Lonchura striata: one gene and its partner. The protein of the gene in region 1 interacts with the protein of each later gene in a pairwise test. Links are inferred from orthologs where the notes say so. Each region holds a gene or a part of one and is shown on either strand. Other genes may lie near its edges.

What was found.
Region 2: the proteins of TLE5 (region 1) and MFAP1 interact in binary tests that used the Homo sapiens proteins (3 or more experiments, as listed by UniProt). The two-hybrid records come from large-scale screens. The link is inferred for Lonchura striata from reciprocal best matches to the Homo sapiens genes TLE5 and MFAP1.

Annotation. Positions count from the first base shown.
Region 1 is NC_134630.1:4,157,872-4,165,812, reverse strand, and holds the start of TLE5 (TLE family member 5), read right to left. Parts: upstream 3,113-7,941; 5' UTR 3,020-3,112; coding exon 2,993-3,019; intron 2,734-2,992; coding exon 2,636-2,733; intron 1,179-2,635; coding exon 1,115-1,178; intron 1-1,114. UniProt on the Homo sapiens protein: Transcriptional corepressor. Acts as a dominant repressor towards other family members. Inhibits NF-kappa-B-regulated gene expression. May be required for the initiation and maintenance of the differentiated state.
Region 2 is NC_134613.1:24,429,496-24,437,900, forward strand, and holds the start of MFAP1 (microfibrillar-associated protein 1), read left to right. Parts: upstream 1-5,247; 5' UTR 5,248-5,399; coding exon 5,400-5,478; intron 5,479-5,577; coding exon 5,578-5,797; intron 5,798-6,513; coding exon 6,514-6,646; intron 6,647-6,946; coding exon 6,947-7,134; intron 7,135-7,561; coding exon 7,562-7,670; intron 7,671-7,740; coding exon 7,741-7,901; intron 7,902-8,131; coding exon 8,132-8,291; intron 8,292-8,405. UniProt on the Homo sapiens protein: Involved in pre-mRNA splicing as a component of the spliceosome.

The DNA of each region.
Region 1 (7,941 bases):
TTAAGGGAAAAAAAAAAAAAATGCATCGTGGCCACTGCTGGAGATGAGGGTTTCCATGCAGACTGCGAGGCACAGGAAGCAATTGTTTACCAATGAGAACGGGGCAAGCTTCCCCATTAATACACCAGGAAAGCTGTGACCTCTTCTCCTTGTCCCCAGCCCCAAGCACTCCTTGCTCCCCACAGCCTCAGAGTCTGGTCACAAGGGCAGTACAGAAAGATGAAGGGGCCAGCTAGCTCCCTTATTTCTCATTTTTTAAGTCTTAACTCTGCTCTGAAGAGCTGCTCTATTAATTTCTACATCTTATCTCTTCTTTCCAGGGCAGGTGCAGCAGCTGGCAAGCAGGAGCCAGCTCATTTTCATGGACAGTATTGCAGCCTCCCATTAACTCCATGATAGGAAAGGAAGAGACCACAGCCCTGCCTGGCAACCCTCCCCGTGCTGCAAGGGCTCCAGAGGCATTACCTGGCAGGCAAACCCTCACCCTGCTCACCAGAACATGGCTGTTTTCTTGGAAAGCCACAGCCAAGCCTGCTGCCCACACTTGGCACCATTTCTCATGCCTTTACCAAGCACTGCCCTGGGGCTTGCACACCCTGTGCTGGGACACACGTGCCAGCACTCAGCACCACGGCTAAGCGAGGCTGCGAGGTCACCACAAGGTGCACAGGGTTTAGCCCTGGCACAGAAGCTGATTTCTGCTTCTAACTCACACCTGGCTTGTGGGGTTTCCCAGTTTCATGACTTCTCAGAGCACTGCTTTGTCTCTCACTGGCCGTGACCTTCCCAGAGCCCCCAAACACCTGCACACCAGCACCCTGTATCACCTCCTCAGGTGTGTAAGAGCCGTCACTTCCTTTGGGCCAAGGACCCATCAAGCAATCCCCCACCATTTTCTACATCAAAAAACTCCCTCCCACCGTGCATTTCAACAACCCCCTGCATGCAGCCAACACAAAACAGCCCCATTTTGAGAGCAGAGCCAACTCCAGCCCTGCTGAGAGCCCTGGAGCTCTGCGGGGCGTGGGCTCCCTGCCAGGCAGAGCCCAGGCACAGGCACCTGCTGGTGTTGCCACCCACACACTCTGCTCCGGGCTGCTGGGCCGGTCCTTACCATGACGTAGTGACGCTGCATCTCCGATTTCTCGCTGGCTAGTTTGTCACATTCCAACTTCAAGCTGAAAAGCCAGAAAACAGTAAGAAAACCACAAACAGGAGGTGAGAGAGTTGATCGCCTCGGAGCAGCTGCTTCCTGCATGGCCTCATCCCGGCCAGGCTGGATTCTTGGACATCATTATCTGGACTTCAAGGGGTGGCCAGAGCAGAGCTCAGACAGGCTGTGCTGGCACAGTAGTGACCACACAGAACCTGCTCCCAATTTCTCAGCTGGAGCCCTCCCCAGCACACATTCAGGAAAAGGACACAAGGCTATCCACCAGCAGAACACTGACCTCCCTCAGGCAAATCCATTCCACAGGAAGCAGAATGCTGGGGAGAAGCAGAGTTGGCTGCCCAGGGAGGGGTTTGCCTTTCCTCAACAGATCGCTGGCAGCTGGGGACAGATTCTGGCACAGAACCTGTCTGCAGCACTCAAAAGATGTTCCACTACAACATCAAAACCAAAGCCAGACCCACTTCTGGATGGGGGCTGGGGGGGGGAGGCCCAAGTGCAGCACATCCCTCCAGAAGCAAGGATTTTTCCTCTCTCCTAGATTCTTCACACCCTTCAGAGAAAGTGCCGCTGCTCCCAGTGTTTTATGAGACTCCAACTCACCAGCCGAGCAACTGCAGCCAGAATGTGCTGTGGTTTTATGTTTCAAACAAGAAACAGCTTCACCTACACAAAACCTGCTCCTTCTTGAGCAGATTAAGTCCAAGGGGGTGGAGCGGCATGGGGGAAAAGCTTCCCTTTCAGCAGGAACCCCTACTCCCCTGATGGCACTGCCAAGGCACAGAGACACCAGGAAATGGCCACTTCCCAGCAGCTTTTCTGCCTGCTCCTGCCAAAATGACACCACCACAAACTTGTAACCTGCCCGCAGGCAGAGCCCGGGCTGGGGGACATTGCAGCCACATGGCACCAATGCACACACCAAAACCAGTGCCAGGCTGTGGCAGAGGGCATTGCCCAGACAATATAAACCGAAGGGCTTCATGTTTATGTCAGACATAAACACGCACACACACACACGCAAAGCAACAGATTGTCTCAAGCCAGCTTTTGGGTTAGCAGCACTATTTCCACACACATTCACAGAAAAGTAAAAGCATTTGGATTTAAGTGCTCCCTGCAGCATTTGCAGTCCAGGAATGGCAGCCAGCGAGAAAAATTGAGGAAAACTCCCAGCAAAAGGCAGGAGGGCTGGCAAGTGCCTGTGCAGTCCTGGCTGAGCAGCACTTGGAGGAAAGACCTTGGCTGGAGAAGGGAATGGGCGTTCTCCTCGCTGGGCTCCCATGTGGACGCGACCAGCGCCGTGCCCGAGGCGCTCCTCCAGCCAAAGGCGTCCCAAGCTCCGCGAGCGGCTCCCCTTCCCCAAATTCTCGTCCGGCCCCGGGAGCCACGCAAGGAGCAGAAGGACCGGAGCGATCCCCGCGCCCCGGCCGGGACAGCCCCGGGCGCGGGGGCAGCACGTACCTGTGGTACTGGGCCTGCAGCAGCTGGAACTCGTCCTTGATGCGGTCGCACGAGTCGGAGGTCGTGAACTTCAGCTGCTGAGGCAGGTGAGAGGAGCCCTTGAACAACAGGAGACAGCGCTGGGCCGGAGCCGGCGCCCGCCGGGCCCGCCCGCCCCGAGCCCGCCCCGGGGCCCGAGCCCCGCCGGGGGCAGCGCCCAAGGTCACCGGGGGCCCCTCGCCCGGGAGCCGCCCCGCGGCACCGGGAGGCGCTCGATCCCCTCGCCCCCGCGGGGCCGGGGGAGGCCGGGCAGCCCCCGCGGCCCCGCCGGCGCCCGGCCCCGCCCCGCGGCCGCTCCGGCCCCGGGCCGCGCCGTACCGAGTGCCGGCTTTGTGGAAACATCATGTCAGGTTGCGGCTCGGTCCCCGCACGGAGCGGCCCGCTGCCACCGGCTGCCCGCGCCGCCGCCGCCTTTGTCCGCGCCGGGTCCGGCCGCCCCGGCCCCGCGGCCGCCCCGCCCCGGCCGCGCCGCTCGCCCCGCGCCGCTCCCGCCGCCGGCGCCTATTGTCTAATGGCGGCTGCGGCTCCGGCTCCGTCCTGCGGCTGCTCGGCACCACCTGCCGCCGCCGCCGCCTCCCCGGCCCGGGCGGGCCCACGGCCGCGCCCGCCCCCGCCGGTCCCCGCCCCCGCCGCGCGGCGCCGCCGGGCCGGGCCGGGCCGGGCCGCGCTCGGTGCCGCCCTCGGTGCCGCGCTCCCTCGGCGGGGCCCGGGGGATGCTCGGTGCCCTCCCCGCGCTCGGGACGGGCCTTGCCCCGCCGGCCGGGCTGCCCGGCCCTCCCCGCAGCCCCCCGGTGCCGCGGCCCACCGAGAGTCCCTGCCCGTGCCCCGGCCCCGCCGGGAGTCCCTGCCCGTGTCCCGGCCCACCGAGAGTCCCTGCCCGTGCCCCGGCCCCACCGGGAGTCCCTGCCCGTGCCCCGGCCCCGCCGGGAGTCCCTGCCCGTGCCCCGACCCACCGGGAGTCCCTGCCCGTGCCCCGACCCACCGGGAGTCCCTGCCCGTGCCCCCGACCCACCGAGAGTCCCTGCCCGTGCCCCGGCCCCACCGGGAGTCCCTGCCCGTGCCCCGGCCCGCCGAGAGTCCCTGCCCGTGCCCCCGGACCCACCGGGAGTCCCTGCCCGTGCCCCCGGCCCACCGAGAGTCCCTGCCCGTGCCCCCAGCCCACCGGGAGTCCCTGCCCGTGCCCCGGCCCACCGAGAGTCCCTGCCCGTGCCCCGGCCCCACCGGGAGTCCCTGCCCGTGCCCCGGCCCCGCCGGGAGTCCCTGCCCGTGCCCCGACCCACCGAGAGTCCCTGCCCGTGCCCCCGGCCCACCGAGAGTCCCTGCCCGTGCCCCGGCCCCACCGGGAGTCCCTGCCCGTGCCCCGGCCCACCGAGAGTCCCTGCCCGTGCCCGGACTCACCGGGAGTCCCTGCCCGTGCCCCGGCCCCGCCGAGCCCCCGGCCCGGCCCAGGGTCCGGAGCCCCGGAGCGGCCCTTGGTGGGCAGTGAAGCTCCTCGCCCTTCGCAGCTCATTTTCACGCCCTTCCCCAAGCAGAACAGGCTATTTTTATTTATTTTTTTTTTAACCCAGAGTTTCGTTTTGCTTTATTTCAGTGTTGCCCTTGGCTGAGCCTGAGGGAAGGGAAAGGAAAAAGGTAGTTCACCTACAACTGGCCACCAGAGAAAGCTCTGATCTCCAAGCAATGGGATGTGTTCTGCTCTGGATGCAAACTTTGGTCCTAAACCTGCTGCCTGAAGAGGAGACCCTGCAGTTGGTGTCCTGCAGGATCGATTGCATCCCCCCAGAGAGCAGTGGGGTGGGGAATTCAGCCACAGACTTTATTTCTGGAAGGACTTTGTTGCCATGGGGCCTCTTGCAAAGCTGCACACACAAATGTGCCCGTGCTGAGGCAGGATCAAGTCCTTGGAAGCCATTCGGAGAATAGCAGGCAGGAACACGGTACATGTGAGCACACAGAGAGCTTTAATAAATTTTGGATGTTGCTCCATGTCTATCTTTAAAAATCAGTACATTTTCTGATTAAAAATAAAACCCGACATGTCATGACTCCAGCAATGTGGGCTGGCCTGTTGTGGTATTTATTTTTAAAAAGAACAATATAGCAGATGAGTTATTGTGACACCTCCTGCATATTGTGCAGTAGCTTTTTCACTTCAACATCTCCATATTAGTGGAAACTGTGACAGCTTCATGCCAAGGATTATTAATAGTGCAGGCAGGCTTCGTGTCCCTGCAGAATAAGGGTTGGAAAACAGGGCAGACAGTCTGCCCCCAGTGGGGTTGGCATCCTGGTCCCCCTTTTTACGTGGAGAGAAACTGAGTCACCCCAGCTTGAGCTGTGCTCAAGGGCAGAGAAATGCAGTTTATGGTCAGTGTGTGCGTGCAGCCACACCAGGTCCCTGTTGTCCCCTTCCCCTGGTCCTGGAGCAGCACAGGCACCCTGCCCTACACTCGCAACAGCTTGCAGTCACTCCCTTCCAAGTGGGAAATGAAATGCTCCTTTATTGGCATTTCTGTTGGCTACAAAATGTTCCATTTTATCTTTTTTTTTTTTTTTTTCCCTCTCTCCTTACATTCTTCCAGGAAACACTCTAATTTATGGTATAATCTTGGCAAATCCCAGTCCAGGGGAACACAAACTCACTTGTGCCTGGTAAATGACTTTTTAATGGGCTCGTTTCCAGCCAGGCAATGCACCTGCATCTGAAGAAGAGGGGATTTTAGCCTGGCCCAGGCTGAGTCAGGGGCTGGGTATGGTCTGGGAGCAGAGGAGGTGGCCCCAAACACAGCCTGGTGAGCAGTGGGGGTTCCCACAGCCCACCTCAGACCCAGCTTGAGAAATGAAGGTTTTTCCAGCACAGGAAAGGGAGTTCTGTGTAGGAGCTCTCCAAGTGAACCAATATTTTTGTCTGCTGCAAAGCTGTTTGAAGGTAATGTGGGGAAGCCCCCCACTCCCTCAACATCTTGGCCAGGAATAAAAACATGCTGGATTCTTGCTACAACCAGGACTGGCTCGGGGTTGGGCATGCAGGTGGGTTTCCAGAAAGCCATGAGGGACAGAGAGGGCAGAAGCATTTTGTATTTCTAATGGCGCAAGAAACTGTCCCAGTCTCTGGCCCCACTGGAACAATTCATACAGGGATGTCCTAATGAAACCTAGAGAAACTTCCTATTAGTTCCTAAAAGGAGCAGTCTAACAAAGCTGCCAAAAATAAATCTGTGTAATGAAGAGCCTTTGTAAATTATTCAGATATTATATCCCACTCCAGCACTGGTTCAAGGAGAGAGGTTGTACAGACATTTTCTGCTCTGAAGCTCTGGACACAAGGTGAAAGCCATGCTGTCATCATTATGAAAATGAAGGCCCTGAGATCCTGCTTTTACCCTGAGAATACTCTCTCTTTTCCCTGGATTAAAGAGGAAGAAATAAAGAAGGCACAGCAGCAATTCAGGCACTGAGACAAGGAAGGTTTTTTCCATTTTTGCACAGCCTCAGGGTCTCTTTTGAGTGCCATCACCTCAAGCTGCCCACACCCACAGGTGCTTTGCAGGAGTCTGAGCAATTTGGGGCACAGCTCTGGAGTGGCAGGGACAGGACCTCACTGGGTGTGGGGTGGCTCAGCCAGCTCCTCACTTGTGCTTTCAACCCTGTGGCCTCCTTCCAGTAGAAACAGGGCTGAGACCCACCAAACTCATTCAACTTCAGCTGCCCTTGATACCCCACCTGCCAAGAAACCCCAGGCCCTTCCTGGGCTGCAATCCCCCGCTGCTGCCCTGTATTCAGACAGCTGTGAGGCGTTCTGTAAGGGCCAGTGCTGGCAGCTTGTTGGCTATTAGCCACAGCCAGCCCCATGCCACTCTGCTGGGGCTCACTGAGTTCTCCCCTTCCTGCCTCCCTGCTTCCCCAGCCCCTCTTTGCCAGCAGCAGGGCTGGTTCCTGGGGGTTTTTTTTGGGTTTTTTTTTTGTTTTGCCCAGCCCTGCTGCCACACTGACAGCTCTGTCAGGTCTGGGCCACCTGGGATGGGATGGGGAGGCCAGGACTGGTGGTGGAGGTCAGGCACCGGACCTTGGCCCTCTGCCACATCCAGGCCAGACTGCCCCTTATCATCCCTCCTATCACAGAGATTATTGGCTTTTGATATTAAACTTTCTCCAGATAGCATAACACCATCAGCCAGACACCAGGCAAGGGCTGGGCAGGCCAAGCAGTGATTTACACACGACCTGCCTCTCAAGTCCCTCTTTCACAGAAGGGGCTGTTTTCCTTCTCTCCTTCACCACCTCCCAACTCTCCTGCTGCTGTTAGGAGCTGTGCAGGTCTCCCTGCTGCAGCAAAAGGTTGGAATGAGCAGTGGGGCTGCACAGGCTCCCAGGGAGCCAGAAGTGCAGCACTCCTCCCCAGAAACATGGCATTGGCAGGGCACAAATTCTTCCATCACCACCCAACCCCAACTGCTGCAGCCCCTGGGACACCCAGGTGCCCCGATGGGATGCAGCAGTTCCAGCACCTCAAGAGTGCTTGTTCTGCACTCTGTGCCCATGGTTCCACGCTCATTTCCAGCTGAAACTGTCTTGCTGCTTGCTCTCAGAGGCAGAAATGTACAGCAGCCCAAATTCCTCGCCTACACCAAGAAGAAAAATGAGAAATTGCCCCTGGATGTGCATAAGGTCCCAGACAGGAATGGCCTGTAGGCAGAAAGGACCTTTCTCCAAGAGCAGCCTTGGTCCAGGCAGGCTTTTTCCAGCTGGTAAAACATTCCTACCCTCTTTGATCCCGTTTTATCAGTGACTTGGAATAATTGGGCTCCATCCCTCGTGGTGACTGCCCCCCACCCCTCCCTTCTGCTGTGGCCTGTGTTTTTGCTGCAGACTGATTAGGGGTAATTATCATCCTTTTTACCAGCCAAAGTGCAAGGAGCAGTTCACACTCCTTGCAGGAAGCAGGAAAGGGATTTTGCAGCTGAGCCGTGATTAGGAAGCACATGGCAAGGATGCCTGAAGCTGCTTGCTCCCTGGGTGGTGTCCCTGAGGCATTTGGTGGGAGATAAGCAGGAAATTTGGAGCTGTGAGACAGTCAGGAGGTCCAGGGGAATCCACTGACCCTTTGGTCATGAGAAGCCTCCCAGCACAATCAGTTTGCAGAAGCAGCAGTGTGAATCCCAGACTGAGCTGAAGGGAGTGACCCACAGGGGCTGGAATGGCCAAAGGAGCAGCTTCGTGAGCACCCAGGTGTGCTGTGGGCATGGCCAGGGCTCAGCACTCTCCCC
Region 2 (8,405 bases), on another chromosome or scaffold:
CCGTCTCCCACCTGGTGCAGCAAGTGGTGCGTTATGCTGTGGCACGGGGCTGGCAGGACATGAGCGCTGCCACATTAGCCTGTTCCAGCCCTGGCAGACCCCGGAGCAGAGAGTTCCCCAACCAGGCTGCGGGAATCGTACTTCCCATGAGGTCCTTATCGTGGGGCTGCAACCCCAGATCGGTGTGCAGCAGCCTGACAAAGAAACTGTCTGGTAAGGAATAACACAAGGAAAAAAATCTATGAGCCCCATGTCAAGAGAGAGACTTCCACCAAGGAGGAAAGGTGAGAAGTGAAATACACAGCTTCAGTCATTTGTAAAGAACAACGTACTGTGGGCACGGTACCGTGTCATTAGCAACACAAATGCAGCAGAACCCACAGTGACCTGAACCCAAACTGACCTGAATCTTCCACATCTGCGATGAGTCTGGCAGCTTGGGGCAGGAGCAGGTCCTAGTGCTCTTTCCAGAGAAAAGGAAGTCACTCAGATACCATGATCAAGATCATGAAGCATTAGCAATCACACAGGAAACAGTCACCTTGGTAACTGAGATGCTGAGAACAGCCCAGAAAATCTAGCACAGGGCAGGCTGCTGTTCTAAACTGGGTTAGTTCTGCAGGGCAGCACCCTGACTGCAGGTATTTGGGCTGGGCCGACCCTGGCATCCAGCCTCAAGTGCTGCACCAGAGACCACCAGCCACAGGGGCTGTGGTGCCCCAGGCCCACCTTAAGGGCCACTGTCCCACCAGGGGGAGAAGGCACCCACCCAACAGGCAGCACTCACCTCAGTGTCACTGCAGCATCCTCAGGAGTCGTCCCTGTAGCTGGCAAGCTCAGACCTACCCTTGGGGACACAGGGACCAGCTGTGCCCCATGGGGTTATATGGAGAATGCATGGACAGAGGCAGGTCGGAGCTGGAGTCCGGACTGGTGGTGGGAGGGAGGATGGGACACAGGCTGCCTGCCCCACCCATGAACCTTACCTCTGGATGCCTCCTTTGGGCGCTGGCAGCCGTGCCAAGGCAGGTGAGGAGCTGCTGCACGCAGCCCTGTGACATGAGGAGCTGACAAAGGGCCCTTGTCACCACGGGCTTATGGCGGTGCTGCGGGGCAGGGCAGGCGGGCAGGAAGCACCACGCTCTTACGCAAACCACTGGCCTGGGACCTGCGCTGACCCCACAGCCCTGCCAAAGAAAACACCAGGGTCGGGAAGCACCTGGCTGCAGGTGGCACATCGCCACAGACCGGGAGGAGACCCGCTGTGCCAGCAGCCCCTGGGCCCAGCTGCAGAAGGAGCAGAGAGAGGCCACCAGCAGGGATCTGAGCGGCTGCCGTGCCCCACTCACCTCACAAGGGCTGCCAGGCACCCCTCTCTGCCCCGAGCCATGATGCAGCGAGGGGTGAAACAGCTACTGCCGCACATCTGCCAGGCACAAACCCTCATCTCAGACTTGGGGACTGTGGCTCAGAGGCACCAGTGCAGCCCAGGAGACAGCAGAAACAGCCGCTCCATGCAGCAGTGCCCAGCAAACTGGCAGCACTACTGCCGGCCCATTGTACTGTCCCATCCTGTGAGGTCTGCCCTGCTAGGATCCCCTGGGGTTCTCACTATGGCCACAGGGGCCAAACTGTTCACTGGGGGTGGGAGAGTCCCCCACACTCCCCTTCTCTGAGCACACTGGTGTGGCTTGGCTGCACACACAATCAACAGAAACCCACTTTCATGGAAAAATCAGGTTCATTTTTAGCTTTCAACCTGCAGAATACAACTGCCCATCTGCCTAAGCTCCCTGGGAAACAGAGCAGCATAGGGCTGCACTCCTGCCTGCAAACATCCCAGCCTGGGGGACCTGGAGGATTGCAGGTGAAAGCAGCTAGTGAGCAAGTAAAGGGCAGAGTGCCCACACAGAGAAACCAGCAGAGAAAACCAAGTAACAGGCAGCAACAGCAGGCAGAAACTTCTGGATGCACCAAATCAATAGCAGAAGGTTTACCCAGCACAGAGCAGCCTGCTCTGCCCCATTGCCAGCAGAGGTGAGCCCACAGTCCCTCTGCTGTGCTGTCCAGCCTTCTCCCTGCACACATCCTTACACTATCCCAAAGCTAAGGCTGCAGTCCCTTTCCCTGGAGTCTCCCCAGTCTGTCCCCTCCACCCTGGATACTACCAGCAGGTCTCTTAGTGCTGAGGGAGCTGGGACTGCCATGCTCCAGGCAGGACCTGTGGTCTACAGGGTCCAGCTGGCTCCAGCAGCTCTACTCATCTCTGACTCCCAGACACAACATCTCACTGTAGGCACATGCAGGGACACAGGCCCAGCCCAAACACCCTGACCTTGTCCTTGCAGTACAGCTGCAGACACAAACAGCAGCTGCTCAAGGTGGGTTCTGTAACTATCTGCCTTAGGCTTTGTCAGCAGCAGTCGTAATGCTCCACAGCCTAGTCTGGCTCTGCCCCTGCTCTGGGCTGCGGGATGTGCCCTTCCATCACCTGTCCTGGACAGCACCCTGTCATCACCTGCTGTACAGGTGCAGGGATTTCCTTGCCCAGCCTAAGTGCATAAGGTGCCTGTGGCACTTGGGGCGTTCCACAGTAGTGTCACGCACAGGAACACACACACACACACGGGCAAGGAACACAAGGCTGGGAGCCCACCTGCAGCCCAGCAGTAGGAATGCCATGTGCCCGTGGGCTTCGGTGGGCTGGGGAGGGGGTGCTCACAAGCAAACCCAGCCCAAAGACCAGCAGGTGTGGCTGGCACAGCACTGAGGGGCAGACTGGCCCATGCTCCAGGCTCACTCATGGAACAGCTGCCAGCCTTCCATGGCTTCACACCACCCCAGGAATGGGGGGCTCAGCCTCACAAAGTGTCTCCCACCCCATTGCTGCCCATCTGCCAACTGCCAAGACTTGGCAGGGCCAAGATGTCAGCAGCCACTGCACTGGGCAAAGGGAACATGGGGCAAAGAGACTTTGCAGTGAAGGGCATCTTCCTGCCATGGCCTCCAGCACCTGCAGCCACAGAACTGAGCCAGGCTTGAAGGTATTTCCCTGTTTGCCCAGGTCTTTAGTTTAGCTTCACTTGAATAGGACAGTATCTGCTTTGTGTGCAATCCTCAAGCTTCCTCTTGGGTACTGTGGCCAACTGTTCCTTCAAGTCCTGTTAAAGCTTATTCCTTGCCATGTGGCACAGGACTTACTAGGTGGGAACACACTGTGACAACATCCAACACTAACAACATAAACACAGAGTGGCTGCTCTGGTTGTCACCTGGGTGCAAAGGCCAGAAGAACACCAACAAGCACACAGATCCACTCTTGCTTGTTCCTGGCAGTCTGTAGGTGCTGTAGGATTATAAAGGCATCGATGCCTCAGTTGCTCAGGCAAACTACCAGCTTCACTGCACCATTTCTGCCTGCAGCAGAAATGGGTCTGTATGGAGGGCACTGCAGGGACACCCTTCCCTGGAACCAGAGCAGGGACTGAGTCAGGATGCCAGGTGCAGCCAGCCAGTGCTTCAAGGGACTGGGCCCACCTGTCCCCGTGCCTGGGGCAGCCACCCCCACCTGCAGCCCAGCCAGATTGTGGTCATCCAACTGGATCTGCCCAGTCCTGGCATCTCTGTAGGCCAAGGAGAGTTTCCCAGGAGAGTCAGCCTCCACCGTGGCCTTGGGACCTCTGCAGCCACTTCTGGGACCAGACTAGGGTACTGCTGCCAAAAATTTGGTCTGCTCTCCCCTAGACTGGCTGCAGGAGATGCTGCCAGAGGGACATCTCCCAGCCAGACCAAGGACACCAAAAGAAAAACACTTCCCTGCACTCCCTTATGGATTGTGCTCCACTGCTGAGCCACCAATTGGAAAAGCACATGTGCCCTGGCCTTTCCTGGCTGCCAGAGCTAGCCTCACCCCACGAGAGTACCTGCTCTGCTACTGCCGGTGAACTGTTGAAGTGTGGCTCGCTCCCCCTGCTTCCTAAATTTCCCTGCCAGCAAGCAGATTTCATGGAAGATAAAAGAGGATTTCCTCTTCCTTTCTTCGTAGAAGCCAGCAGAAGGTAGCAGAAAGTGGCAGACGTGGCTGCAGTGGCTTGTGACGCAGTTTTACCCAACTTAAGAGAAACTGTTATCTTCTGCGGCAGGATGCGTGCACAGGGACATCCCACCCCAGCCACTCGCCCTACACTGTGAAGCCTCACACACCTCGGCTGCTGACACAGGCAGCAGCCAGCTGCTTACGGGAAACCCCCAAGAAGCAGCCGTGGCCCCAGCCTTTCCCCACAGACACTTCACACCCACGCCAGTGGGACCCCCAGGAGCTCCCCCAGCCTTGCCGTGCGGCAGGTGGAGGTGCTGCCCCACCGGCAGCAGCTGCCCTGCTGGCGCTGGCCGAGGGCTCCGGGGGCACGCAAGAGCTATTTGTCCTTGCTGCCAGGGAGCCAGGCAGCAGCGCTGGGGCTTGCTGGAGCTGGCTGGAGCGGGCAGAGCAGGGAGACTGGGGTCATGGCTGGCTGCGGCCGTCGGGAGCAAAGGCGGACGGCCTGCCGTGCCGCACTGCAGGGAGGAACGGCACGGCTTGGGCAGCAGCCACGGCCACCTGGCCTCCAGGGACACCCAGCCCCGCTCTGCCCCGAGCAGCCGCGCTGGCAGCGGGCTCCGCACAGCCCCGCAGCCCCACCGCGCACCAAAGCGAGCAGCAGTTCTCAGGCTGGGCGGGCAGTTCGGCACAGGAATTTGCCAGGCGCAGGCCGTTCCCCAGCTCAGCGAGTTACGGGTAGCCCCGGGCGCTCCGTTCCGGCAGCTGCCGGCTCAGACGCAGCCCGCACGGGACGGCCGGGCCCGCAGAGCCCCGGCGCCGCTTAGACGCGGCCGGAGCGAGCAGCACCCGGGCGAGCCGCACCCGGGCGAGCCGCAGAGCCCCATCGCGGCGCTGCCGGTGCCCCCGCCGTCCTATGGCCGCTCGGCCGCTGCCTCGCCCTCACTCCCCTCCGGGGAGAAACCCGCATCGTGCAGGGGGGAACGGAGCCTCTCCCGGCCGAAGGCGGATGGCGAAACGACCGGGGACCCCCCTGCCAGCCGGCCGCAGGGCCCGGAGCACCCCGCGCCGGGCCGACACGCAGCCACGGCAGACGGCTCCGAGCCCCGGTGCCCGTCCCCGCGGCAGCGACCCCGGGCCCAGCGCCACTTCCGGGCCCCGGCACGGTCCCGGTGGCGGCGGAAGCGGCCGAGGTTCCGGTTCCGGGTGAGCGCTCGAGGCGCCGTTGTCAGCGGCCCCGCTCGGCTCTGCTCCGCTCGGCCCGGCCCGGCTCGGCTCCGCTCCGCTCCCCTCGGCTCCGCTCGGCCCCGCTCCGCTCCGCTCGGCCCCGCTCGGCCCGGCCCGGCCCCCGCCTGCCGCCACCATGTCGGTCCCCAGCGCTCTCATGAAGCAGCCGCCGATCCAGTCCACGGCGGGCGCCGTGCCCGTCCGCAACGAGAAGGGTGAGCTGGGGGCTCGGGGCTCGGCGGGGAGGCCGGGCGGGCGCGGGGCCGGGACGGGGGTGCGGGGCCGAGACCGCCGCTGACGGCCGGCACCCGCAGGCGAGCTGTCCATGGAGAAGGTGAAGGTGAAGCGGTACGTGTCGGGCAAGCGGCCCGACTACGCGCCCATGGAGTCCTCGGAGGAGGAGGACGAGGAGTTCCAATTCATCAAGAAGGCGAAGGAGCAAGAGGTCGAGCCCGAGGAACAGGAGGAGGAACTGGCCAACGACCCCCGGCTCCGGCGCCTCCAGAACCGCATCGCTGAGGATGTGGAGGAGCGGTGAGTGCTGGGTCAACAAGAGCTGAGCCCCCTTTGCCTATCTGGGGCCGGGGGGCTGGGACTCTAGACTGCAAGGAGAAACTCCACAGGGCAGAGCTGGGAACATTATCCAGGCAGTGCTGGAGCGTTTGTGACTTCTCATATCCACTGTGCCTTGGGCTGCTTTCCAGCCAGGAGCCAGCCAGGCACAGTCCATGTCCAGGTGTGTGTGGGTGGATGGTAGGAGAAACAGGCACCAAAACAGAAATTAGAGCAGCGTGCTGAAGCTCGGGGTAGCAAGGAAGGATGGTGTCTCGTGAAATGCACTCTGGGCAGCCCATGGCCTCCCAGCTCAGTTGGTGAGGGTGATGAGAGCCTCCACCACGTTGCCCATGTGCTTGCGCAGATTGCGCTTCACTGCAGCCTGTGATATTTCCGTCTCCATCATCTGCAGAAAAGCACCACTAAGTGCTGTTTGCCTCCCATGGAGCTGCTGTTGGTTTTGTTTCCACTAACAAGGAGTCTTCTCATTTGGAACAGCATTCTTCCTTGAAGCATTGACAGGGAAGAGCTGGCAGTGCCCAGGCACTGTGACCTGGTAGAGAACATATCAATTCTGGCCATGTTTGGCAGTCCCAGTGCTTACTGTGGCCTTGCTAGAAGTGATTTGTGAACAGTCACTTTCCTGCAGCCCCCTTACGTTCCAAGTGCTGTGCATCACCTGGGGTCTCTTGCAGGCTGGCAAGGCACCGCAAAATCGTGGAACCTGAAGTGGTCGGAGAAAGCGATTCAGAAGTGGAGGGGGGAGAAGCTTGGCGCCTGGAACGGGAGGACACCAGTGAAGAGGAGGAGGAAGAGATTGATGATGAGGTGTGTTTGCAGAGCCAGATAATGGGCCTAGGAAAGCTGGAAGGGCACAGGCTGGAACTGCCCTTTGCATGGATATGTGGGCTGTCTGATGTATCTGGACAAGTGTCACACCTAGCCACGACTTAACCATGTAAGTTATCATCCTCTGGCATGGAACAGGACACTGGGGGAGGCCACGCCACGTCCAGACAGGCAGGTGCATCTTCTCAAAGCCAACACTGCAGACGTGACGTGTTTCACAGGAGAGAGAGAAGTGGTAGCAGGGCAGGCCTCTGACTGCTCTGTGCTTGTCCCCGTTAGGAGATTGAGCGTCGGCGTGGGATGATGCGTCAGCGAGCACAGGAGAGGAAAACTGAGGAGATGGAAGTGATGGAATTGGAAGATGAGGGTCGGTCTGGAGAAGAGTCTGAGTCAGAATCCGAGTATGAGGAGTACACGGACAGCGAAGATGAAATGGAGCCACGTCTCAAACCGGTCTTTATTCGCAAGTAGGTGATGGAAGTGTGTAGGCTGGCCCTGGATCGTGGTAGTCAGAAGCTGGGGCCCAAGGAGACCTTGCTGCCATGGTCTCTTCTCACTGTGAGAAGCCATTGACCTCCTTGGGGTGGGATGGGATGGTCACAGCCTGGCAGGGCACAGCTAGGGAGCAAGGAGCAATCCCTGTACCCACAGCCCTGTATCAGTTGCATTGGGTTGCTGTGGCATCAGGCTGTGGAGTCTGACCAGAGCTCTTGGTCAAGGGCCATATAGTGGCAAAAGAACGTGGTAGTACCCAGGAAGGGGAGAGCCCTGGGACTTGACCTATCCCTGGAGAGGGCAAAGGCTGAAAGCAGTTGCAGTGTGGGAGCCAGTGAGAGGCTGAGCGACTGCACTGGCTCGTGGGAGGGCTGAAGGCTGTCATGGCCCTGCTTGCAGGAAGGACCGGATCACAGTCCAGGAGAGAGAAGCAGAAGCTCTGAAGCAGAAGGAGCTGGAGCAGGAGGCAAAGAGGATGGCAGAGGAGAGGCGCAAGTACACGCTTAAGGTACGGAGGGGTGGGCTGGAGGCTGGAGGGGGCAGCCACTGCAGCAAGTTTAGCTTGGGCCTCACTGCAGATTGTAGAAGAGGAAGCAAAGAAGGAGCTGGAGGAGAACAAGCGCTCACTGGCAGCACTGGATGCACTCGATACAGATGATGAGAACGATGAGGAGGAGTATGAGGCCTGGAAAGTCCGTGAGCTGAAGCGTATCAAACGAGACCGCGAAGAACGAGAAGCGTAAGTATTGTCTCTCAGACTAGAGGCTGAGACCCCACCTTTTCCTCAGGCTGCCCTTTGGCAGCAGGGTCCCAGCTGGACTGAATGCCCAGAGTCCCTCCTGCCCACCCTTGGGGTGCCTTTGCTCCCTAGCAGTAAATGTGTAAGCTCTCATGTGTTAGCTGGTGACAGCCTCTCTCCCGGGAGATGCTGTGGGGACACACAGTCTCAGGAGCTTCTCTCCCACCCAGCATGGAGAAGGAGAAGGCAGAGATCGAGCGTATGCGGAACCTGACAGAGGAGGAGCGCCGTGCTGAGCTCCGGGCCAATGGTAAAGTCATCACCAACAAGGCAGTAAAGGGCAAATACAAATTCCTGCAGAAGTACTACCACCGCGGTGCCTTCTTCATGGTGAGTGTGCTTAGGGCCAGGCCTGGCTGCACTGGCTGCAGGTGTGAGACTGCGGGGCCACCTTTTCCCTGTGGGGAGCCTCCCCTCTCCCTGGGTGTCCTCAGGCTGGGGGTG